4 linked regions of the Drosophila melanogaster genome follow. The gene in region 3 interacts genetically with the main gene of each other region. Each region holds a gene or a part of one and is shown on either strand. Other genes may lie near its edges. The genes, in order: bon, Sin3A, Ret and stg.

Region 1 (6,046 bases), on a different chromosome or scaffold from region 3:
CAGTCGAGCATGTTACGCTGCTCGGCTTCCGTCTTATAGATCTGGCTAAAGATCTCCCTCTCGATAAACTCCTGGACTTGCGCCTCCTGCGCCTGCCATGTCAGCGGATTGTGGATGCCGTCCTTGCCGTAGCGATCGTTGTAGCGCTCGTAGTGCACTGTGTCCAGCACGAGGCCCAGTCCAGGGGCCATCGGCAGGTCCAGACGCTCCTCCGTCAGTGCCCGCTCTAAAGTGGCCGCCGTCGTGTTCCCCCTTACAATGGCAATGGCTAGACCCACCATCTTGCGAATCTGGTGCAGCATAAAGCTCTGACCCTTAACCTTAAGTGTGACAAATTCGATGTCCTGGGGACTCCGGAATGGCTCGCTGCTCGTAAAGGACATGATGAAGCGCTTGGACGAAGGATCCAGAAAGCTTCTACAAGGGTAGTAAACAAAATATTAGTTGGAGCAGAAATGAAGTATAAACCTGGCTTATTTACTTCTTGCTGGTGAAGTTGTGGAAGTTCTTCGTGCCCTCGTAGAGCTTCAGGGTTTCTTTAACCTTCTGCAGCAGCTCTGGTGAAATCCGGAAGGTGTCGTGCACGTCGTCGACCTTTTCCTCAAACGGAGCAAAGGCCACGGTGGGCAGTGTGTAGGTGTAGGTCCGAGCATTGCATTGATCCTTGGCATTGAAGCCCTTAGTCACGCGTTCTACGCCAAACAGACGGATCTGTTGCGGCAGATCGGCATTGAAGGCCTCCAGGTCCAGCTCCTCAGCTGCAGGAAGGAATAGGTTTAGTATTGTCTTGTAAAATAGAATAAGTAAACTAACGCAGCTTGACGGAGCACACCTGGCGGGCGGCGGAGACGCCCTTGTCGGTCCTGGCCGCTCTTTGGAAACAGGAAATCTGAATCTGCTCAAAGCTGTCCTCTGTAATCCACTTGTGCTTTAGCATGGCTTTGAAGAGCTCCTCCTCGATGGTCTGCATGCCGGGATTGCGCTGCATACCATAGTAGTTCGCACCGCAGTAGCTAAGCAGGATGGCGCTCTTCTTGCGCTTGATCCGGTCGGCGGGATCGAACGGCGCTCGCTTCACGCCGTTGGCGGCATCCTTCTCGTCCTGCTCCTTCCAATCGACCCATTTCTTGCGTTTAAGTGTTCTCTTGATGCGGTTGGCGTCCTTCACGGCTTCGCCCTCCAGTTCTTTGGCCTCTTTCCTGGCTTCCTTCTCCACCTCCAGTTTATCTAGAGCCTCTGACATCGCTGCGGCGAAGGATTTGTGGCGATTCCAGGGATTGCAAAGGGTTTTCAGGCGAACTATTGTAAGAAAATTAATTATTATAAATTCTCGAATTGGAGGTGTGATCACTAATAATTAACCTGCCTTGGTGTAGTCGTTTAAAAGTCGTCTTAAAAACATTAAGTAAACAATTCTGGATTTAAAGTGGAGGAATTCACACACGTGTGGTTGTGCTTCTTCTTCTTGCTCTGTTACGGATCAGCTGTTTTATTTAACAGCTCTGTTTGGCTAATACAAATATGTTTTTTTCGAAAATCGCGTTCTTTGAATTAGCTCAATAATTAAGTTGAGTTTCCGAAATGCTACTTTTGATTTACTTAAGTTTTAAATTAGCTGTGTGGAGAAAAATGTTCAAAGCTTTACGTAACGTTATGACTTAACAGAACGAAGACGTTACAAGTTTATTTTAAAAATTATGTTATATTTTACTATAACCTTTTAATACCAGGCTAAGTTATTAGTTTTAAATTGTAAATAAATGGCATCTTGACCATGTATTACAACATTAATATGATTTTTTACGAAATGAACGGCGAATTCAATTGTGGTATTGCCAGATCGCGTGTTTAGTGTGACCTCAGCTGCTTACGTTTCCACGGCCGTGCGTAACAGCCCTCGAAATGCCGTCGTACTGGCAACGCCGACATGAATTAATTGAATCCAAAATGGCTGAACATTTTTTGTACAGAAGAAGCGTCCAACGAGAGCAAACGCCGTGAGACCGTGTGTTTTCGCAGCGAATTACGCCAATAAAACCGCACTAAGAGCGCGCTCGCAGCGCGAATAAAGAATAGCAGCCGCGTATGGACGAAATGCGGCACGAATCGCTGGAAAAATCGACGGCCAGACCGAAAAATAGCAGCGAAATTCGAGCGAACGTCGTGTATAAGTAAAACGAAAGTTGTGTCGCTCTGTGCGAAAGAGAGAGGGAGAACCCAATATTTTTGCAAGCCAGAAGTCGAAGGTGAAATTAAAATGCATTAGCCACCCAATTGAAGAGGAGTCAACTACGAACAAAACTTTAAGAATCAGCGAAAAATCGTTTGTGAACATCCATACAAGCACAAATCGTTGTTTTTGCCTGCTCTCGTGTAGTTCCTGTGTATTGGTGCGCGCGCCCTGTGTGTGTTTGTGCGTGTGCGTGCGTGTAAGCATTGGAATGGATTAACTACCCAACTAATTCCAAAACAATAATACCGCAACATAATCGCAATAGTCATGCCGTTTCAAGGCGACAGCCTTTAGGGAAACATTCGGTCGGTCGGTCAGTCAACCAAAAATCAGTTGCTATAATTAGCACGCCCACGTTTTAATTTCAACGATCGCCAGCAACCGCCTACGCGGTTAAATCGCAGGACTTCGCCAACATGGATATGGATTTGGAGCAGCTAAAGAACGACTTCCTGCCGCTTATCGCCGGGATCAAGCAGGAGCAGCTGGATGCCGTGCCCACGGATGCCCTGCCCCAGATGAGCACACCAAACACGGCCAGCGGTGCGCCCACAACCTCGTCATTGAGCTCCTCTTCGCTGAGTCTGAGCAACCCCTGCGACAGTGCCGAGAAAAGGGTATGTTGCTAGTCCGTATCACGCGTTCGTTACCTATAAGCTAACGCCAAGTTGAGGTTAGCTAAAGCCGCCTAATCACACGTGCTCTTGCGGCTGATAACAAACAGCCGGCTCAATACACATATTCCCCTGCTCTGCGCAGTCTGCTCAGTGTAAACTTTTGTTTTGGTTGGATTTTGATGCGCTCGTGCTGCGTCCTCCTTATCAAGCGTTTCGAATCGAGTCTCGTGCAAAAAGCGTTTGTTATCTTTTTCCCAGGCCAAGGCAAACAAAGCAGCGTATTCACACAACCAAACAAACAGCGCGCAATGGCAAGTGTTGTTGTGTTTCACTTTCACGGCCCAGTCCGAGATCTTACAGTGAGAAAAACGGCGTGCACTTTGCTCTATTTTACAGTATATGTGTATATATAGTTTTCTATTATTTTAAAATTAATATGACTATGCAGTTTTAATCTTGGATATACCAGTTAAGATGTAAGAAATGTGATGTTATCGAACGTTGAATCAACTTTAAAATTAGTTCTAATATACAAATTTTTAAGTTGTTATATGAAAAAATGAAAAATAATATACCAACTTAATGCAAGAATTTAATTAAATTAAAAAAGGTACAAATTAAACATTAATTATTAGCTTACTGATTGAGAATTTTTTTTTTTACTGTGTAGTGAGTTAGGGTCTCGTGCCGATGGTTCTCGATTCCCCTATGAGTGCGAGCAAAACAAGCTGTTTCTAGACAGTCGCTACCTCGCTTTCACTTACGTGGAAGGGCTAAGTCAAGATGGTCTCCCTCTCTTGCAATTGCAGATCAGCTGCAACATGCAGCTGCCACTCTCCAGATGAGCGGCAATAGAGTGTGTGTGGTTGTGTGTGTGCTCTCTACTGTGTTTTGTTTGCTCTCCGTCGTGCTTGAGCTGCTCTTTAAGCTACAGTGGAACCCAAGTAGATCATCCTAGTGGAAAGCTTGAACATAATTGTCCTGAAAAATAAAAAAATACTATAATATTTTAACTACTTCAATCTAAAGAATTATTGAATTGCTTTTACACCTTTTTGTTTATTTTCATTGTATTAGTTACTTACTGTACAGCCAGATAACTTGCCTTAACTGAACTTCCAATATAATTTTGGGACATACAGAATATAACTACCTTATTTTCAACGTAAATTGGGCAATTTGAAAGTTTCATTTAACACTAACATTATGAATTAAAATCAACGGCTTGTGATTACAATAAAACAAAATTAATGTTTTTCACAAATGATAACCGCTTTAGATGACACTAATTGGTCACGATATTTTATTATGTGTGCTAAATAAAACAAACACGTTTTCATGTATGTAATTAAAAATTCGAGCTCTAACTTTCTATGCGGCATGTGATACTTCTAGTTACGGAAGCCTGACTGTATGAAAGACTCAAACTTCTCCTGCAACCGTGCAAATAAATGTTCGCCTAGAGTGGGCCTTTTGGAGTGGCCACTCTCTCTTGAACCCCAACCAGGGATTGGGAATGACATGCACTCATTCAATCCGTCCCTCAATCATGCAAACGGTTGTGTTTGCTGTGGTCGTTGGGGGCACTTAAGACCCCCAGACTCCATGCCCAGTCCCCCCCCCCCCCCCGCCTGAATCCCCTCCAGATCACTTAATGCCCATTTCTGATGCGGGCAAACTATCAAGTGGAAAGTACTTCGCCGAGGCAAGGTGTGGAGTTCAGAATGGATGATGATGGGGATTTCAAAGGAATAGCTTTTAGATTATTAATCCTGTTAAAGATTTTCATACATGCATGTACATAACTACAAAACAATCTGACTTAAGAAACTGCCAAGCACGGAATAGTTAAATAATTAATATGAAAAGAATTATCAAAGAATTATTTATGATCCAGTAAGAATTATGCGATCCTTTAGATTTCCTTTAGATTTGAATGCTAATTCTTCTCTTGACGGCATTTTTTTCCTTTTCATCGAGTAAATTATTCTAATTTATGCATGACTTCACAAAACTAACTGTACCTACTCATGAATACATGGAATACATGATGTCGTTAAGTAACTTTTATGGGCGAAAAACATAATAAGAATTTCTCAATAAAGAGAGAAGACTTAAAATTCACGGATAATTTTTTCCTATATATAGTAAACAATGATACCTCTGCTCATATTAAACTCAAATGATTATTAATTTGTTTTTAATTAAAATTAGCTTGAAAGGTTTTATACATTCATAAACACAAGGTCTGCTTTTGTGGAGACTTTCTTTTTTACCTTTATACTTCCGATTCGGTAAAACACTCAAAATCACTGAAGCTTAACTGAAAAGAGAAACCTATTCATTTGTAGCTCCTGTCAAAATGGCGGGTTTCGGCATTAAAAGTGACAGCTGATGGGGAGGTTGCCGCTGGCGGGCATCCATATGTCATCTCAAAAACACTGCACCTAAATGCATTTTCCTACCCTCCATGAGGCCATATTTAATACTCCCATAAATACGTATGTACGAACGCTTGTCGTACATACATATTCATGAAGTCATGTCTTTGTGTGTTACCCCATGCATGCGACAGGTTGTAATTAAATTGCTTGACATCGGAATAAATGAAAACCCAAAATCGTACGACGCCATTTTGTGTTAGATACCGACGAGACCCGAAACGAATTCTTAGAATCCGCCTTTAATGATGTACAATTAACTTTAATTTGATGAGAATATGCAAGCAAAGCAAAACGAGGAGAAGGCAAAGTGCCGATGGCCAGACGCCGGTGCTAGGAAACCCCAGCCCCCAAAAATAAAAGTCGTTAAATGCACAAAAAAGTAAAGTTTCTAATTAACTTGATTACCCTGAAATAAGGGCGGGTAGATCTTGGAAAATGACTCTCTTTTCACTTTACTCGAACTACCTGGCATTAATGCAGACATCGGGATTTTAAAATGCTGGGATTTTATGGCATCTATAGTCAACCATCCCCTTTGTGATCCGATTGAACGAATTTAGGATTAGAAATAATACTCTATACTCTAAACTAGGTAATTGTGTCAAAGCCAATATGTGCATTAAAGATTTTCTGATTTAGTACGCTCAATGTCAAAATAGATATTCAACATATTTTTGAAGTGAACAAGAGAGGTCGCTCTAGTCTATTCTCGTTACTAGTGTTTTATTTTCGAGTTCGGAAAAAAAATTTTA
Region 2 (6,022 bases), on a different chromosome or scaffold from region 3:
CCACCACGCCTCCTCCGCCGGCTGCAGAGCCAACTCCTACGGCCACCTGTGCTCCTGCTCCTACTGGTCCTCCAGCGGTAGTGCTATCCACAATCGAGGTTGTGGTCTTCAAATTCGTAGCCGTCGGCGTGGTGGACGGCAAATAGGCAATGGTTTGTGCTCCTCCATGCTGTGGAGTAAGGATGCGATGGTGAATGGAACCGATCCCGCTGATGGTGGCGTTATGAGCACTGGGCACGACGGTACCAATGGTAACGCCCGTCGTATTGACGCCCACAGTAGCAGTGCCACCGCCGCCGGATGTTGGCCCACCTCCAGTTACGCCGACGACACCAACGCCCACACCTCCGGAGGTCTGAGGAACGGGTCGTGTGCCAAATTGCACCTCGTCTACGCGAGTGCGTTTCATCATCTTTTTTGTTGCTCTGTCCTCGGCGGAGCGTATAATCCTGTGCTGCTGCTTCTTCTTTCTAAGCACTTTGTTGCTCCCTGGATCCCTGCCCAAGTGCAAGGACTCTGGCTGCTCTAGGTGAGTGGCCGCCCTCTATGAGCGTATGTAATATGCAACAAACGGTCGGGGTCGCAACTCTTGATCTTGGACTGCTCGTGAATGCGACATATGTTGTCTATGCATTTGGTCGCCCCGCAAGCGGCAAATGCGCTCGAGTTCTAAGGTAGAGAAATTGGACTGACGGCTGGTTATCTGCTGCTGGTGTTGCTGCGCCGGTGATTCGCCTCTGCCACGTAGCGTTTGGAGTTCTTTCTGAATATCACTGCAAGCAAAGCAAGAGAAGGGAAACGGTCATACAATAATGTCGACATTAAATGTATAAAAACCCCCAAGAATTAGGTTTGGGTCTATTTTTAATGAAGTTAGTCATCATTAAATTCTGCATTACTGGAACAATCTTACACATTAATACTAGAATTTATTCACTGACACTGAAATGAAAGGACAAATATGCCAAATATACTTTTCCATATATTAAAGACCACGAGTCTTGCTAATTTTCCCAAAACATGTTAGCTAGTATAGCACAGCTGATTGATCAATTCGGTCTATATCTTCACAGATATCGGAACGATTGCATATTTCAACAAGAAAAAAGGTGAACTAAAAAGCCACGGGGGAATTCTTCTTTTAGCCGTATCACAAAAACTACAGAGTGGAGAACGGTGTCTCTGTATTGGGTGTTCTGGATTCGGGGGAGAAGAGTGAGATGAGGGACAATAGGAATGGAATGAAGCAGTGGAGCTGTGACCAATAACAACAACAGCAACCAGAGATTGATACATATAGACGGGAAGGAGATCGTGGAGTGGAAGTTGAGTCTTGGAGGAGAGTGAGTGCAAGGCATAAGGAGGAGCGCGTAATTCACTTTAGTGTGTGTACGTTCAACCGGAATTGGGCGCGCGCTTTGTTATTGCTTTCAGCGGTACAGTAAAAACTTCCTAAGCGAGCTTTCTGTGTACACCTCCGAGTGTGTGTGTATGTGTGTACATATCAGTATTTGTGAATGTGGAAGGTGCCAAATGCCCCATGCACGACATCGGCTTGCATAGAATTCAGACGCACACATAGAAAATATTTATATATCGATACCGCCAAGGGGGCGGGCGGGTGGTGTGTGAGAGCTGCTGGTACATGTTCTGTATCTACAACTTACAAGAATAAGAAGAAGAAGAGTCAGAGGTAACAGCAGCAGCAAACGCAACAATGCAAAGGTGGTGGTGGCGATACGGTGGTGGTGGTGCAGCCACAGAGAGAACCAGAGAGAGCCGCATTTGTTGTTGAGGCGCAGTATATGGATGATTTTTTTTTTTTCAAAAAGGTATTTCACCCGTTTGGGGCCAAACTCACACACGGACACAGCAAGCATTTGGCGGGCATTCGAGAGAGAGAGCGGCAAAAATGAAGAGAGCGCAACGCTGCGCAAACCAAAGACCGCGAGCAAATATTAGGTGAATGGAAACCGCCTAGAGGATCATCCTGCTCCAACTAATTGAAACACCCCATCGAACCAACAGCTGCCCCCTTTTAGCATTTGTAAACAAATATTGGAGCACAGTACAGCCGCACAAAAGCTTTAGCCCTCGTTCTCTCTCCTGTCTCTGCCACCACCAACTATCCTTTAATAAATGAAGGTAAAACAAGTTCGCTCTTTTGAGCTCTCCCAACTGTCTTTGTTGTTATTGTATTTTTGGATCCGCCATTAGTGCATACCAAACACATTTACTCGCTTGCTGGTGTGTGTGAGTGTTTGACGAGAGAGGCTCCAAATTGGGGCGTTGTGTGCGTGTGTGTGCTTTGGGGAGACATGTGGGCAAATTTTCCCTCCATTTTTTCTTTTTTTTTTTTTTTGATTCAGCCCGCTCTATTACGTGCACACGTATAATGTTATCTTATCTGTTTTGTTATGTGTATACACAGCACAGCAGAATACGCAACACAAAAGGCAGCCAGCGGAAAATATGTTAAATTTTTTGCAAATATCACTAGCACTCGGTTTTGAACAACTGCAATACGAATCGGAATCAACGCGAATTAATATTTAGTTTTTTACTGTTACTTTCTCACTCTGGCGCACTAACACAGCCGCGGAGTGGCGCTGCGCTATTAATAAATTTTGCAAATAAAACATATGGATGTGTAGAGAAATATGTACAATATATTCACATACATATATACTATTTCAGCATGAAGAAGCAACGGCAAACGTTTTGTGTAAATTCAAAACCGAATGAAAAAAAACAGGCGGAGCAAGAACAACAAACGACGGATGGGCTGGGGAGCATGAAGAAGAGGAGCAAAAGGAAGATCTGAACAAAAAGAGGGCCACAAAATGATGCTCTCATTGGGGAGCCATTTAAATGCACACTCACACTAGGCTGCTCTCGCCAGTACATGCGAATGGCGCATCAAAGCAAAAGTCAAGATAAGCGCACGAACTGAGCAAAGAACGAATCAACAACGAAAATAAAACGACACTACGTTGAAAAAATACAGTCAGTTCATAAGCGAACCAAAAGCAATGGTTCAAAGCGTATGTATGAGTGTGGCTCTCCTCTCCACAACTGTGTTCAACTGTGTGTGAGGAGAGCAGAAACTGTAGAGGCAGCAGCAGCAGCAACACAAACAACAACCACGTCCCCGTCGACGACTTTTTGTCTGTGCGCCTTCTATATGTATTCGCTATGCCATTGTTGTTTGTGTGTGTGTGAGTTTGTGCGTGCGTGTGTATATAAACCAATTGAAATTGACCTAACCTAAAAATGTTGTATTTTCACAAGTTTTCAGTGGCACGAACGAAAATATTGTTTGAACTCGAATCCGCACTCCAAGTGCACTTGAAGGATAATGCTACTCTGCAATTTTCACGCCCCCCACAACCGCCCACCGCCCATATTACACTTACATCAGCAATAAGCAGTTAGCTTCGTCGGTTGATATTCGGCTGTGTGTATGTATATTCGAAATGTATGTATATATGTACGGGGCGCGTATGTATATTTACTACAAAACTGCCGTTGGTTTTGTGGTGTTATTGGAAACTTTCACGTTTTACGCAGTATTTTGCACATGCAACTACTATATTCGCACTCACTGGCACACCGAAATCTTTATTTTCACCGTTTTCTTTTCTTTCAGTAGCTGGGGCTTCGTTCTCCAGTTCAGTTTAAGTTTAACGCTTATTTCAATCAATTTGCACTTGGCTCTAAGACCTTAACTAGATCACACGGCTCGAATTTAAGACATTTTCTTCTCGATAGATTGCTACTGCTATTCTATTCACAAATTTTTGGCGAGAGAACGTTTTCGTACATCTCAACGCCGCCGCAAACATTTTCGATTAAAACAGCGAAACGCGACGGCCAGTCATTTGGAGTCAGCAGAGAGAGCGAAATGAGTGTAAAACGGAGAGCGTGAGAGCGCGCGCGCAGTGTTGCTTTGGAATTCATTTTATTCTGCTGCCGCAGCTAAAACAGGGTGGCAACTCAACGGCGCAACAACTAAAATCCTCCGTCGAGCGCGTTGAAAACACATCAGTAGCTGACGGCAAAAATAGTTTATATACCATTCATTACCTATTAGCAAATAATCACAATCAGTGGTTATTTTTATTAGCGGTGAGCGGTACCGCATGCAAATAGTCGCAAAATGGCGCTTAGAATTTGGATAAGAAACGAAATACGTGAGGCTTACGTAAGTGCGAGGACCAACAACAACGCTGGGAAGAGAGAAAACAAGTTGTTTAGAAAACAGGGTGTACCATTGTCACCCAGCCATGTGGTGGAAACGATGATCAGAACATCTGGGTAAGACACCCTGTTTGAGCCAAAGAGAGAGAGCGGGTGTGAGAGCAGCGCACCCACACAAGCGCAACGAGTATACAGCAGATAGCGACGTCGGCAGAGCGTTTTAGCCGACCATTGCAGTACATATGTGAAATCGACGAAACCGAAAATCAGAAACCAAACGGACCACTAGCGAGCTACAACTCTGCCACGGCTACACTTTACACACTCATGTACTCCTCCACCACCTCACTCGCCAGCGCACTCACACACAGACGCGTGCGTGCGGAGAGAGGAAGTAAAAATATGAAGACAAAAAAAAGCAAGTGCATCTCACCATGACAATGGCGGAACCATAAAAACACATGTTCCCATCTCGAATCGAACTGAATTCGGCGGCCAGCTCCTTCACAAAATAAAATAATACAGACAAAAAATCTGTATACGCGCAAAAGTTGAGCTGCTAAAACATGGAAACCTTGCAGTTATCGATTCGTCTCGCTCATTGCGCAATGAAAAAAATGCAGCGGGGGCGGAGGATACGAGAGAGCCTCTCTCTTTGTGAGACACCTGCAGCGATAGGAAATGCAAATCCGCCTTCCACTTTCCAGCTCGAAAGTTCAAAGTTCACATGCAACTAACTAGCTACTGGGTGCAGCGCATGTCCGAGGTGCACCAAAGTCCCTGGACCAAACAAAAAAATGGCACAAACCAAACTCTCCGACTTCCAGGCGCCGCAGGAAGGTTTGTTTGCCCTCCCATTGGGTATTATTGATGCTTTTTTCTATTGATAATAAAGCCAGGTGGTCTAGCATGTTCTAATTATTCCTGTGCTAATTTCAGATCTGTCATGGAATGCGGCACTAGGAAATATTAACTGACGCTGATCAAGTGATATCTGAAATGTGGTAAAGAGGTTCCTGTCACACGGACCCATTTCTATAAAAAAAACTAATTAGTTTGATATTCGTACGTGTTCTGCAAATTATCAGATGTTTTTAACTCTCTTGAGTCACATGATATTTAATGTGATAAAAACTTTTTGTTATTTATTGTTTGTTTGTCCTAAAAAATTGACAACACAGTAAATGGAAAACTTTACTATAAAATATTTAACTTTAGTATTAATTCTCATCAAAACTATAAATCCATTTAAGGATTAGAGAACCCTCTTCTTTATGTAAAAGATTATACACAAATTTACCGGTGAGCCAAAATGCGTGTTGGATCAAAATTAAGAGCAATTAAAAGGTTTTTAAATTAAAATAACGATTATAAATTTGGGAATAGGCTTACACGATTGAACACAACGGCTTCAGTGTTGTTTACTAATTCAATACTTATTGAAATGATAACATAGTATATTTAAACATACAGTTTAACACTCAAGTTTTAATAATATAATGATGAAGGCTTGAAAAAGTTACAACTAAATATGTGTAAAAGTGTTCAACGTCTAATACACTTCAACTTCGTTCCGACCATCAAGTTCAAGAGACTTGTTCGTTGGCCTCTGGCTAAAATACAATTGCGAATTGCAAACAATTGGTTGGCGACGCGGCAAGTGTTTTTTTTTTCTCGGGAGAAAGATCGAGAGAAGTGTGGAGAGACTGCCAAAACTGGGGAGTTTGAGTTCAGAAGTAACTTGTTTTTCAAGTTTTCAAACAGCCAAAACCAAACCAGACTTAAAAGCCAGTCGAAACTTGAGGCGCTTCACAAAGAAAAT
Region 3 (5,863 bases):
TTTTATGTTCCGTGTTTTTTTTCTCTGTGATGGTATTCTTTTCCAATGCTGTATCCAATTAGCCACGTTCGATTCCGTCACAAGCTTAATTACTTTTGCCACAAATTGATAAGTAGCATTTATCAATTAATGTGCGAAAACCAGAGCAGAAAATATGAAAAAATAACAATGAGTTTTGCGGATATTTAGACCACGAACATTAATAGTTTTTCGTTTTTGGTGCAGAACGTAAGCTTTTGAAAACAAGTAACAGAGGTTTAGGTTTACCAAAATAACAATTTGGAAAATTAATTTTTTTTATTTCAAAATGAGTTTTCGTAAACATCAATGTACCCACTGAAAGGGTATGACTGCTAATTATTTTTATTGATAGCGGCGCCCACGCTCCCGTTTGTCATTTAAGCAATCTAATTTATCACTCAATTAATTCCGCACAAAATTCTCAAGAGCCGCGCGGTCTACGAATTCTGATTATTGCAATTCAAAATGAGCTTTGAATTTGTTTCGCATATTGATATTGTTATTAAATGGTCTTCGGTTGCTATTTTTGGCCAGCGCCAGGTGAGAGGCTTATTGGCGTTGCTTTCTGTTTTTTGTTTTATATTTTTCTAATTCTAAATTTTAAAAGTCGAGCGCCTCGGGTGCGTGCTATTTGTTGCTCTTATCATTATTAATTGTTCTTTTTGCCGATTCACTCCATGTCGAATGGCTTTCAGTTTGCTCAATCGGTTTTTAAGTGGAATAATTTAATTAAATTATTTGGGCAAACAATGTGGGTTTACTTCACAATTTGCTCTGGCTGCCTTAAGTCAAAAAGTTGAATGGTTTTTGAGACAGTTTCGGGCTTAAAATTACCAGAGTTTTGTATACAGTGGTAATGCTAATTTATTAAGATTTCTAAACTTCCTAACCAACTGCCGAAAACCCTGATGAATTTTGAATACGAAAAACAATAGAACTAGTTACGATAACTAATTCTATGCAAGTACCAAGCAACGCTCAACGAGGACGTGTCAAGGAAAAGGCAAAAAAAGTTTGTGGACGTGCGAGTACTCTACCTACTCCATACCCCACAGAGTACTCTAGGTACTCCACTCCACATCGCTCCAGTGCGGATGGATGGACGGCATATGTGTGGTATCCAGCGGTGCACGGCAGGTGTGATAAAAAGAACCCGAAAGAGACAATTGCGGCGTGAACTACCCGCTGGCCAGGGGAATGGCAATGGAAGATAGCACGCATAATTCAAACGAGCTCAAAGTCAAACAACGTGATAAGCAATTCACAAACACTGGCCGAAAAGTCGAATGGGAAAAACTGTGTAAACTGAAGCTGAAACTCATTGAATTTGGATCATTTCAATTTATTGGTAAATGGGATTTGCTTTAAGTAATTTCGGTATTTTGGTACTTAGTACAACACTCTTCTATCCGTTTTTCTTAATCATTGCAATCACATTTGCTTGAAATAAAGCACATTTTCTAAAGATAGTTTCCGATAGCATGGCCAAATGTGCGATTATCACAGTTTTATTCGCAGTGTATTCAAAGACCGAGAGACCGACTAACTGACTGACTGACTGACTGACTGGCAGTCCAAGTGTCTGCTGTCTACTTTTCGTCTGTGGGCCTCTTCAGCACCTGAGCACTTTAAAGTTCAAATCTTTTGACACACTGGGAGCTCAGTTGGCGGATGCTAATAACATACGACTTGACACAAAGAGGCTTTTGCAGCAGACACACACAGAAACTCAGAGACATTCACTGGAAGCCAACCGGTTGCCAACTGGAGGGGCTCTCAAAGGCTCGGGCCATGGCGTTTCCCCATTAAAGGTTAAGCGCGACCCAGCCGATCCGGGTGGACTTTTAAGGTGCGTCTATAGCCGTCCTGTTGCTCGAAACGCCAAAAATGGCAATTTCCATATAAAACTTATGCGAAGCCGGCAAACTTACAAACATCCGACGACCGCAAGAGTCAAAGTACGACTGTGGAGGTTCTTCAGTGCCAGTGACTGCCCCGACTGTTTTTTAACTGCACTGCGACAAAAAAAGATTCTAAGAATGCGTACTGGGAGCTTAATTTTAATCAAATGTTTGCCTTTTGCATTGCTTTATCATAATGAAGAACATTTTGCATTGCAAAGATTTAATGAATACAGAAATGTAAAAAAAAATTTTTTAATGTGTCGTGTTTAAAAATATTATGGCTTACACAATAAAAAAAAATGTTGCTTCATTTGGTTTCATCGAATTATTGCTACTTTTTCAATCTTTCCCCTAACTTTAAATGGTATTTTATATATGAGTATTGGTATAATGAGCTGTGAATAAAAACCAAATAGAATAATTCGATGATATTATTGACTTAGGCTTGGACCTTTTCCAGTGCCATCGGCTTGTAAGTTATTTTTTCGTTCACAGACATCTACGAATTGAAAAAGAATGCCAGAGTAGCGTCAATAAATTTGGCCTGGAAGCTTAGAGCCTGGCTTGGATTCCATTTCCACGAAAAAAGGTTCTGGAATGACAGCCGCTTTAAAGGTGTGCGTGATGTTCTTTTTGATCCAACACAGTCAGCAATAGCAAGTATTACAAACCCTAATTGATCCCATTGATTGAGTTTTTAGACCTGATCGCTTGTAGACACATTCGTAAAATGCAAATTCACATCGCGACTGACATTTGCATATGCTAACAATTAATTTTCTGTCACCTAGGTAATCAAAATAAAACATTTTCCAATTAATCCCACATTTTATAATTTGTAAGATTAACATTTTTATAAGCTCTGCCTCCACCTGAGCAAACGCAAGCACGAAAGACCTTAACAGGCATTTAAAATGTAGAAGTACAAGATTAGATATCTTTTGTATTAATTAAAATAATTATCAATTAGAATAAACGCTCAGACCACCCACACTTAGTGTTTTACTATCAAAGATGTGTCTTTGCATACATACATATATGTATATATATATATATTTATAGCTAATCTGTTATCCCGCCACTTCAGCTTTAATATATTAAAATATTTTCCTCAATAAACTGCAATTACTTGAAGTTGCAAATTGAGTAAACTAATTCCACTTCAACACGCACGGCTAAATCACAATTATCTGATGCCAATCTACACGATATACTGTATTGAGTTGTCAGTGCCACTAGACGTGAGGATATTGGCTGCATTTGGAAAATCCGAATCTGGAAAATCTGGCCATAGATCGCAAATAAATTTCAAAGTTCGCAACATACGTAAACCACGATCTTGATTTTGATAGACACGATTTATGGAGGCTTGCAGCTGCTGCAGCTTTTTACAGACTCCTTAATTGTTCGACTCAAACGGCAATTATTTATGGGACAGTTTCAACAGTGTAATTAATTAGCCACCTCTCTTTTCCCGTTTTCGGGCAGCTTTTCCGCGGAAATACTTTTTGGTTTGTGGAAAATCGCTTAAAGACCAACCGAACCGCTTTGCACGAGCTCCGTTTGAAAAATGAAACTGAAACCGGCAGCCGGCAACTCCAAAGCCGCAGAGCCCACAAAATCGTAACGAAAACTTGACTAACGAAGCCGCTTCGTGTATTTTACCCGAATGTATGAATTTTCCACGATGACGGCACGTCAGCACACCCTCGCAGAGTTTTCCATTTTCCGCTGCACTGCTGGGATACCCCTCCTCCAAACAACATAATTCCACCGACTAATGGCGTTTATGAGATAATCAGATGTGCATGTTCCAAGGCTGGGTAGCATATTTACCCTTGGAAACATGATCTCATATCAAGCACACTTTCCTCGACAGCTTCTTTTCACTGGGTTTGGGGAAAATATTTACTCAAAATTGGGAAAGGGCTTGCGTTCTAGTTTATCTCGCAGTAATCAGTATGTTGTTGTGGGTGTTGTTGGTCTTAGGCAAATCTTAACGATAAAAGGGTTTACCTGGCCACCCCAATACAGAGACTTTACATATTTATTTTTATTTAGTGTGTGCGTGTGCGAAATGTTAAGTGTGGTCAAATGTGTGGGTCTGATTTCTTTCATGCCTCTAGGCTTCATAAGCATCGGGAACTATTTCAACATTAGTGTAAGAAAGGAACTAAACAATTTGGAGTAAGATCATGGGTCCGGGACGATGTTAGCAATTGCAGGCGGGGCACACGGGCTTGTCCCCGTCGATGGTAAAAGTCTGCGAGGTTATAGGATTCTCGCATTTGTTGCACTGGAAGCAATTGCGATGCCACTTCACGTTCATGGCGAGCACCGCTGAGTCCGTTATAGGCTTCTCGCACTTGGCGCACCTGGCAGCAAAGAGGTTCTCGTAATCCTGTTTGCAATAGGGCTTGCCGTCGCGCTCATAGAACGTTTGACTGGCGAGCGGCTTCTTGCAGGCACCGCCGCAGCAAAAGCAAGCTTCGTGCCACCTCTCCCCCATGGCGCAGATGGTTTTTTCAAGGATCGGCTTCTTGCAGCCGGCACAGGTGTAGGTGTACCGCTCCACGAAGCACTTGTTGCACACTGGTTCTCCGCTCTGAACATTGAAGGTGGCATCCAGGATCTGCTCATCGCAGTGGTGGCACAGGAAGTGCTCCGGGTGCCACGTCTTGCCCAGGGCGGTGATCATACGCTTGGTGATGGCCTCCTGGCACTTGTGACACACAATGCTCTCAGTCATTTTGGCTTCTCGATTGGTAACTGCTAATAAAAAATGATTTTTAATGCGCATTACCAAGGGATTGTTCAATTACTCTTTTTTGATTGAATTGCTCGTATATATCGTAAATTGAGGTTAAAATACAAAATGTACAAAACAGGGCAGCTATCGATTATTTTATTGAAAGAAACAACGGAAGATGGCTATGGAACGATAAACACTGGGCAACGCAAATATTAATGAGACAAATTATAATTCTGTACTTATTTTAAGATTGGGTGTATTTCTTACTGGGTTTGTCGCCTGTTTCACTACTTCCTCTTTTCGCAGTGTGTTTTTCCTAGTTCGTAATTGTACTGTTCTCATATATCAAAACAGTTGTCACAGGGCCACCGTTGTTACTTTACTTTCTATTAGATGTTTCACACAAAATGGGAGCACAACAACAAGCAATAACGGGTATAATAAGGGTATACTAGATTCGTTAAAAAGTATGTAACAGGCAGAAGGAAGCGTTTCCGAACATACAAAGTATATATATTCTTGATCAGGATCAATTGCCGAGTCGATCTAGCCATGCCCGTCTGTTCGTATGAGATTCAGCATACAAATTCTAGAGACAACGATGCAGCGCAAGTTTGTTGGCCCATGCTGCCACGCCCACAAGCCGCAAAAAACGGCCACTCCCACACTTTTAAAAAAGTCTTGATATTTTTTTACATTTCATTTTTTATCAATTTGCAAAAAAACTTTTTGCCACGTCTACTCTAACGCCGTAAAACCGCCCATAACTGCTACGCTAACATTTTAGAAATTTTGAAAATTATTTCTTCATAATTCCATAACTTTTTGCCACGCCCTAAAACCGCACTAAATTGCTACGCCTACACTTTTGAAAACTGTTGATATTTTTATTAGTCTTGGAAATTCCTATCGATTTGCCAAAAAAAACTTTCTGCCACGCCCACTCAAACGCCCTAAAGCCAAAAACTGCCACGCACTTTTGAAAAATGTTTAGATTTTTCTTCGTTTTATTGTTTGTCTTGGCAATTTTTATATGTATACCAAAAGCACTGTGGACACGCCACTCCTTTCACCTTAAAAACTCCCAAAACAGTAACGCCCACATTTTTAAACAATTTTTACTCATTTTTTTCTATCGATATCCCAGAAAAATTATTAAATTTCGCTTTTGCATTCACACCAGCTG
Region 4 (7,183 bases), on a different chromosome or scaffold from region 3:
CTTTAGCGGGTTAACCCTTTGGGGAAAGCCTCATATCTAGGTCACCGATTAAAGTATTTATCAAATTTTGAATGTTTTATTTATACATTTACTTGTTGGTTCGAATTAACTTTGATTATTTGAATTGCTAATTATAATTTATTATATTTACTACATGCCAGTCTTCAGAGGGTTAATTTGGCATGGAAAATGGCATGTAACTCGAAATATTACTGCGGCTAGGGCCCTGCCTTTGGCTAATTGCCACAAACCTCGTTTGGCTTTCATCCACACTTTTTTTGAGGATTAAAGATTTGATAGTTTTAAGGAGAAATTGAAATGGGTGTGAAAGGGAATTGGAACATAAGCTATAAACGAAAATAATCTGCTTTATTTACTGAAATTCGATTATCATAAGCCGATTTTCGGAAAGTGTTAGGCTTTGCCTTCAATTTATAGAACAAGTTAACAAATTTAAAAGAGTATTTGTATATCGTATGCGTGGGTTTAAAAAAAAAAGCATCACGTGTCCATCTCTAATTTAAAGAAATATAAAGTGACATACAAATTTTCGTATAACAGTCTGCCAAAAAGTCGCCGCTGTTATACTCAATTTTTTACGGACACAGCGCCCTCTGACATTTACAAAGTGCAACTACTCGCTTTGCGCGCCAATTTCAAGTTGTTAATTCTGTGAAAACCCATAGAGTACCGAAATCCCGCACATAATGCGCATTTGGCGCCATTTGAATGATAAAAATTCCAGGAATTTCAGTTCTTTTTCGTCGTGTATTAATGTATATTTAAAATTGATGGTCTTTGTTCAATAATATTGCCTTTTTTGATGCAAAAATAAGCTTTGCTTAAATAATAATCATTACATGGTAAAATATTTGTTTTCTTGTTTGCATTTGCGTTTCGGTGCCTTGTTGTTCGGTTACGGATTACATAAAAATAAACAAATAATAAGCGTAAATTGTACCTAGCAGAAGTTTACAACTTTCAACTCTTAAACGATAGATCTTATAAATAAAGTTTTATGGATGAAATTAATGAGCGTGTTTGTTTTTGTGTGATATTTGTTTTCTTTTTTTTTTTTTGTTTTTAGCCATTTTTTGTTCTGCTTATCATCTACAAATGATTAAGGGGTCTGATTTCGGGATCGGCCTCTTAAATTTAAATGACATGGTTCCTCACGTTTTTAGATTATAATGCACATTTTTCGTTTGCTTGTTCGTTGGTTATCTTTAAAATTTGAACTAGAGTGCTTAAATAATTGAACTAAAGCCGAAACCATAAAAACAATAATAACTAAACAAAAGCGTTAAATTCCAAATGAAATTGTCTGTTTTGCATGAATGCGAGTGTCGGGTGTGTGTCTGCGTCGTGTGCGAGAAACTTAGTCTACGGATTAACAAATGAAAATCAACAAAAATCAACTTAAAAGCAGCATGAAATAAATACCCCTATACGTCTATATATACAATACGATAACACCCAAACTTAGATAACGAACTGCACGATCATCCCACAACCTACAGCATCAGTCGCGAGCGCGACTTCTTTAGCCGCCCGGTGGCACCGCCCAGGCCATCGCCGTTCCAGGACTTGGACTTGGCGCGAAAGTGGCGATAGGCCTCGTTGTAGGCGGGATCCAGCATGGTGCGGTAGGCATGTGGTTCGCACAGCTCAACGTGCGACTCGAAGAACTCCTTGTAGCCGTTGTGCAGCAGATAGATCTCGGGATAGTGCAACGCCGGATAGGCGTTGGTATTCCTCTCGCGATCCAGATTACGCAGGAAGCGGGACATTTTCGGTCCACGCTCCGAGGAGAATTCGCAGTGGAAGATAATGATGTTGCGCTTGTGTCCCGATTCGGCGTTCTGCTGCTGCTGCAGCTCAGTCTGTTGGACGGTGAGGAACTCATCGAGGATCTGCTCGGTGGTGTACAGGTTCTTGGCTCCCTCGATGTGGCCGCCCTCGAATTCGTAGGGGTAGCGGCAGTCGATGATGCGGTAGCTGGCCACCTTATCGCTGAACTCGCCCTTAAGCAGGCGAGCCACTGTTTCGCTGGAGATGCTCTTCAGATCCCGATGACGACCCTCCATCAGGGGCAGGGCATAGGCTTTGCTGAAGTCGCCGATTAGCTCGGGCTCGTTGCGGTTCTCGGAGCGGGCCAGGGCGGACATGATCTCGGCGTCGTTCAGGGACATGCACTTCCTCAGTGGAGGGGGGTGGCTAATCGTGACCTGGCTGAGTGGGCTGGGTGCGGGGCAGTTCTCCTTCTCAACGGCGGCGCAGCGATGGCGTTTGCTCTGGATGGGCGAGCAGTTGGCCGATGCTGGCGGTTCCGGGCGCTTGAAGCAATCCCGGGCAGTCTCTGGGGTCTTTGGTGGTGGGGTGGTGGTGCTGTTGGTGTTGCTCTCCGTCATGCTGAGGCACCTTCTGACCGAAGGGCGGCGCATGGACAGACCCGCTGGCGATTTGGCAGCAGGCTGCTCCTTGATCTGGCCGCTGATCAGCGAGTTTAGGCCACTGGGGAAGCCCAGGGCGGTCTGTTGGCTCTGCGACTCCATCTCGAAGAGCTCCATGTACTCATCGTCCATGGAGGACTCCATGGAGCATGTGGAGGACAGGCTGTTGAAGATGCGGAAGCTGCGCGCCGGCGTGTGATCACTTGATACTCCCATAGCTGGCAGAATTTTCGGCTGGCGGACGATCTGGAAGCGCTGGGGCGAGCCCTCCGGCGAGAGCAGACCCATCAGCTCCGGACTGGCCGATCGCTGCTGATCCTGGGGCACAACGTCGTCGTCGTAGAACGACAGCTCCTCCTGGTCCATGCTCATCAGTTCCAGGGAACGGCGAGCACGACGAGATCCACTCATTTTGTTGATGCTACTCGAACTGCTGGTGTTATTACTGCAAGAGCAAACAAAGAGAGGGGGAGGATTAGTCAACTGTTCGGCATCGAGGAAGAGAGCTGCTTTTGCTTCCCTAAACTCTCGCAAGAGCGGGTCATTAAACCCAGCTAAAAATACTGACAAACTGGTGGTGGTGGTGGCGTTGGTGGTGTAAAAACAACAAAAATACCCGAGAAAATACAGAGAGGGGTTGTTGTAATTGGGTGAAGAGGGAGCTGAACTAGAAATTTACTTTAATGCAGCTTCGAAAACTGGAATTTTTGGGATTCGACTTGCGCACACGATATCATTGATACCATTTTTTTTTTTTTTGATAATTTTTACAATTCCCTAAAATTGCGAGGGAACCGTTGCGTACCGCCTTATCTTCTTCTTCTTGATTCTACTTAAGCATTAGCGGTTCTCCAAATGGAATTCCCTTTTGCTTTTCGCATGCATCTGCTTTTCAGCTTGACTTTTGCTTTTGGGTCACACGTCACGCAAGCGCAGCGATAATACAACAAAAACACGCCACAAAGAACCGCAAAGAACACGGAGGAAAAAAGGAACAAAAATCGAAAAAAAAAAAATGACTGACTGACGGACGACGGACAAAAAGCATTTTTTGCTGCTGCTTTTTTTTGGAGCCTCGCGGAAGCCGGTTTAATGAATGAAAAACGGCAAGCGAGCAACAAAACAACAGCTGAGCGCCAAAATAAAAATCGGGCAAAAAGCAAACGTGCCGAGCGTGATAAAAAGAACTCTTACTTTTGTTGGCCCCATCGTTTACATTTCTGTTTTTTGTATTTTTTTTTTGCTTTGCTGTTGTTGCTGTTGCTCTTGAACTTGCACTTTTTATCGCGTATTTTCAACTGGTATTCCTGGTGCAAAAGGGGTTTGCTGTTGCTAATCCTTGGGCGGCATAATTACCTGATATTGCAATCCATGCTGCAGTTGTTTTCCTCCACAATAGTTTCCCACAGCATTTTGTTGGTTTTGTTGTGTTATGTGTTGCGTTGGTTGCTTCGAAGAGCCGAAGATGTTTGATTTCGCTGGCGAGTCTGAAGCCGAAGAAATTGCTAAAACACAATTTGTTCTTGGTCACTCTGCACTCATTTACAGTTTGTTTTTAGAATTTGAGATGGTAGTCCTTGGTTTTTGGCTAGTATTGCATTTTAGTTAATTTAGGTTTTTTTGTTTTTTTTTTTTGTTAATGTGTCCGTTTGAGCATGATTTTTTGTTTTGTATTTCGGAGTGTGGTTGTGCGAGGTTTTTCTTTTTCTTCAATAATTTGAACCGCACAATCTCAATTCACCGAACGAGGAACCGAAAGGCTGAACAAGAAGAGCTGTTGACTCGACGACGAACTGAGAACGAATGTGCTGAATATGCCGAGCAGCTGGTTTTTATAACCGCACCCCGGCCGATCACGATCAGCTGATGAGCTAATGGGCGCGAGCGAGATGGCGCGCGTTTTTTGTTCTCTCTGCTTCGCTCTTTAGCTCTTAGTTCTCAGCTCCTTTCCTTTGCCTTCCCATCCTATCCTTTCCTTCCTATCCTTCCCAGAAGTGCCAATAGAAGAGGAAGGGAGACGGGCAACGAGCGACACCAACACACATAACGGGGACGGGGCCAGAGCCATGTGCGATGCGAAAAGGAAAACTGGGAAAATGGGAGAATCAGGATCATATGGACTCAGTTTTGGAAATCTCTGCTCATGTGGAGCACAAGAGTGCCGGCAACAGGTAGAATCCTTTCCCCTGCACTTCCCCTATCGCAAAATCCCGCACCGAATACCAATGTCCCGAGAAACGAGGAGAATCTGGCGCCTTGGTGGTCGCCAGCTCTATGGAGGCCACTGATTTTGGCGCGCGAGCTTTTATACCGCGACGCGTACCGCCGAAGGGGATCCGAAGTCGCCACAATTGGAGCCGAAGTGGAGCCGAGGAGGCTCCGAACCGAACACATGTGAAAATAGTGTGGAGCCCCAAGAAGCGAAGAGGAAACGCTGAAGAACTGCGCGAATCTTTAAGCAGAATTTCAAGGCGGCATCGATTGTGTCGTTTGCAGGTAATAATGTGAGATCCACGCATTCCTGCTGCCCCCTGTCCCCCCTTGTAACCCCTCCCTGAAAACTACATATCAGCAGGTAGTGGCCGCAGTCATATGATCGCCGCACCGGCGGGATGGGCGGTCGTGGAGGGGGCGTGGCTCCTTTGTGTTCTGCAGACGTAGACGCCAATGTCGTTAAATGAGCAAAGCTTCCAGCCACAGAGATCCATTCACAGGTAGCACTCTACACGATGGACCGTGTGTCTTTAATGAGAATCCGTACAAACACAGATCTTAAGCTAGATAAACTACTACTAACAGTAGCAAACACGTGGAAAATCATGATGTCAACCATGCGATATGACCAATAATCGATAATGTGAAGCTCAGACTAGTTGCCCACGCCGAAGCTCCACTGTAGCCCCTCGTTTGTGTGCAATCGCGGCAAAGTTAAAGCAAAAATCGAGTTACATATGCGCCGATGCCCTGCGGGAGTCATTCTGGAGGATCCGAGGGGTTCACTAAGGAGGGTTGGGGGTTTGCGAACACCCATGGGCTGTGCTGTGCAGTTCGAGTGTGTTTTTGTAAGGTTCGCGGCAAACAAATGAAGGACAGGCCAGTGCAACCAGGCCATATCATTCACACCGCTTGAAGAGCAGGCGAAAGTAAATGATTTCGGGACCAACCACAGCCGAAGCCACCAACCAAATGAGCTACGGTTTCATTCCGCTGAATTCCTTTGGCCAGCTTTTGTTGTTGCTGCAGGAAGAGCCGAGAGGATCATCTTTATGGAAAACAACCAGCACAAAACGACGAGAAGGACGCAGAAATCATAAAGTGGTTTTGAACAAGTTAAAAAAGCGCATAGGGAAGGAAAAAGCTCAGAACCAATCTCATTCATAGCGATCCGAGCGCACAGTGTGGCAAAATACATATACTAGAGGTAAATCTGTGAACTTACTACTACTATTTAAAAGTAGTTTCTAGCTCGAGTTGTTCTGCTATTTTCATTTTTACTTACCAAATTCTTATCCAGTTTTTATGCTTTTATTCATTCCAATTATAGCCTCGCAATTATGGATTTCAGATAATACCACCGTGATATCGCCGGGCTCCAGAAAAAGGGCAAAGCGGAGGAAGCGGAATCAAAAGCGTATGCAAAAGCACACTCACACACGTGTGTGTGCGTGTGTGAGTGGGTAAATTTGATAAAGAATGAGAATAGGCTGCGGAGAAAGAAATTGCAGCAACAATGTGAATGGAAATGGGAATGGGGCACAACAATAGCGGGGGACCTCAAAAACAGCATAACGAACAAAAAAAATCACAGGACCAGCAAAAAGTGAAGAGCTAAATTGTAAATCGAAATTCCAAGAAGTGAGCTTTGAGCATCGGCTCTTATTTTATTTTTTTCTCGGTCGTCTGTGCATTAAAATGCCTGCAAAGTGTGCGAAAAAAGCGTTTGAGATACTTTTGTGCGCGCGCGCTTTTCGCAAATCACTGCCAAAAGGGTTAAGGGTGGTGCGGTGGGCAGGCATGGGTTAAAGGCTGGGCGGTCCCAGTTTTCGCGCGCGTGTGTTTGTGTGTGGTAGACAATGCAATGCAATTAGAAGGAAGCGCAAAGAGGGGCCAGCGATCAGATGTCTAGGTGAGAGATACAAAAAGCGCAAATTTTCAACATCCCTCTAAAAGCTATTGAAATGCAATTTATTTATAATTTAATTATTAATTTATTTCAGATAAATCTGCATAGTACATACTGGTAAGTGCACACTATTTAGCAATATAATTATCTTAGTATATTGCATATATTATCTTCTCAATTCTTTCGACTTATATCAAGATTTTCTTGTATGCAATTTTCTTTCCCCTACTCTTCCCCTTTCCCCTAACAAAACGCAGGGGCAATGGTATGGACAGGGGAAGTCCCGTGGTACATAAGGTGCGAATGGAAGAGAAGTAGAGAAGAGGTGCGCACACAGATACTGATTAGAATGCAGGACGAAGAAACAGTTAGACAGGGATAGCGGTTCCCTCTCTCATATGTTCGATCAGCTGATCGGGCCCAGGAGCGAAGGATATGAACAGCAGGGAGGCCGAATTAGTCCTGCTGTGTGTGTGTGTGCGATGGGGGAAGGGGAATGTAGGAGGGGGTGGGGAAGGATAGAAGGAGCGTTCACAACGTGCGCGCGCAAATTCCAGAACACGAGCTGAGGAAGAAAGAGGGAGAGGAGAGCGAGGAACGAACGAGC

The links.
Region 1: of Ret (region 3) and bon, changing one enhances a phenotype caused by changing the other (phenotypic enhancement), as found in Drosophila melanogaster (one study listed by BioGRID).
Region 2: of Ret (region 3) and Sin3A, changing one enhances a phenotype caused by changing the other (phenotypic enhancement), as found in Drosophila melanogaster (2 studies listed by BioGRID).
Region 4: of Ret (region 3) and stg, changing one enhances a phenotype caused by changing the other (phenotypic enhancement), as found in Drosophila melanogaster (one study listed by BioGRID).

What each region holds. Positions count from the first base shown.
Region 1 is NT_033777.3:20,591,195-20,597,240, forward strand, and holds the start of bon (bonus), read left to right. Parts: upstream 1-1,944; 5' UTR 1,945-2,649; coding exon 2,650-2,850; intron 2,851-6,046. Other genes in the region: Pus1 (pseudouridine synthase 1), read right to left, coding at 1-417, 482-758, 814-1,299, 1,363-1,402.
Region 2 is NT_033778.4:12,585,300-12,591,321, forward strand, and holds the start of Sin3A (Sin3A), read right to left. Parts: upstream 3,854-6,022; 5' UTR 3,417-3,853; intron 774-3,416; 5' UTR 413-773; coding exon 1-412.
Region 3 is NT_033779.5:21,195,264-21,201,126, forward strand, and holds the start of Ret (Ret oncogene), read right to left. Parts: upstream 3,500-5,863; 5' UTR 3,390-3,499; intron 234-3,389; 5' UTR 1-233. Other genes in the region: CG31624 (uncharacterized protein), read right to left, coding at 4,138-4,674.
Region 4 is NT_033777.3:29,251,064-29,258,246, forward strand, and holds stg (string), read right to left. Parts: upstream 4,738-7,183; 5' UTR 3,866-4,737; coding exon 3,810-3,865; intron 2,899-3,809; coding exon 1,515-2,898; 3' UTR 1,080-1,514; downstream 1-1,079. Other genes in the region: CG45544 (uncharacterized protein), read left to right, coding at 5,601-5,834. UniProt on the Drosophila melanogaster protein: This protein functions as a dosage-dependent inducer in mitotic control. It is a tyrosine protein phosphatase required for progression of the cell cycle. It may directly dephosphorylate Cdk1 and activate the Cdk1 activity.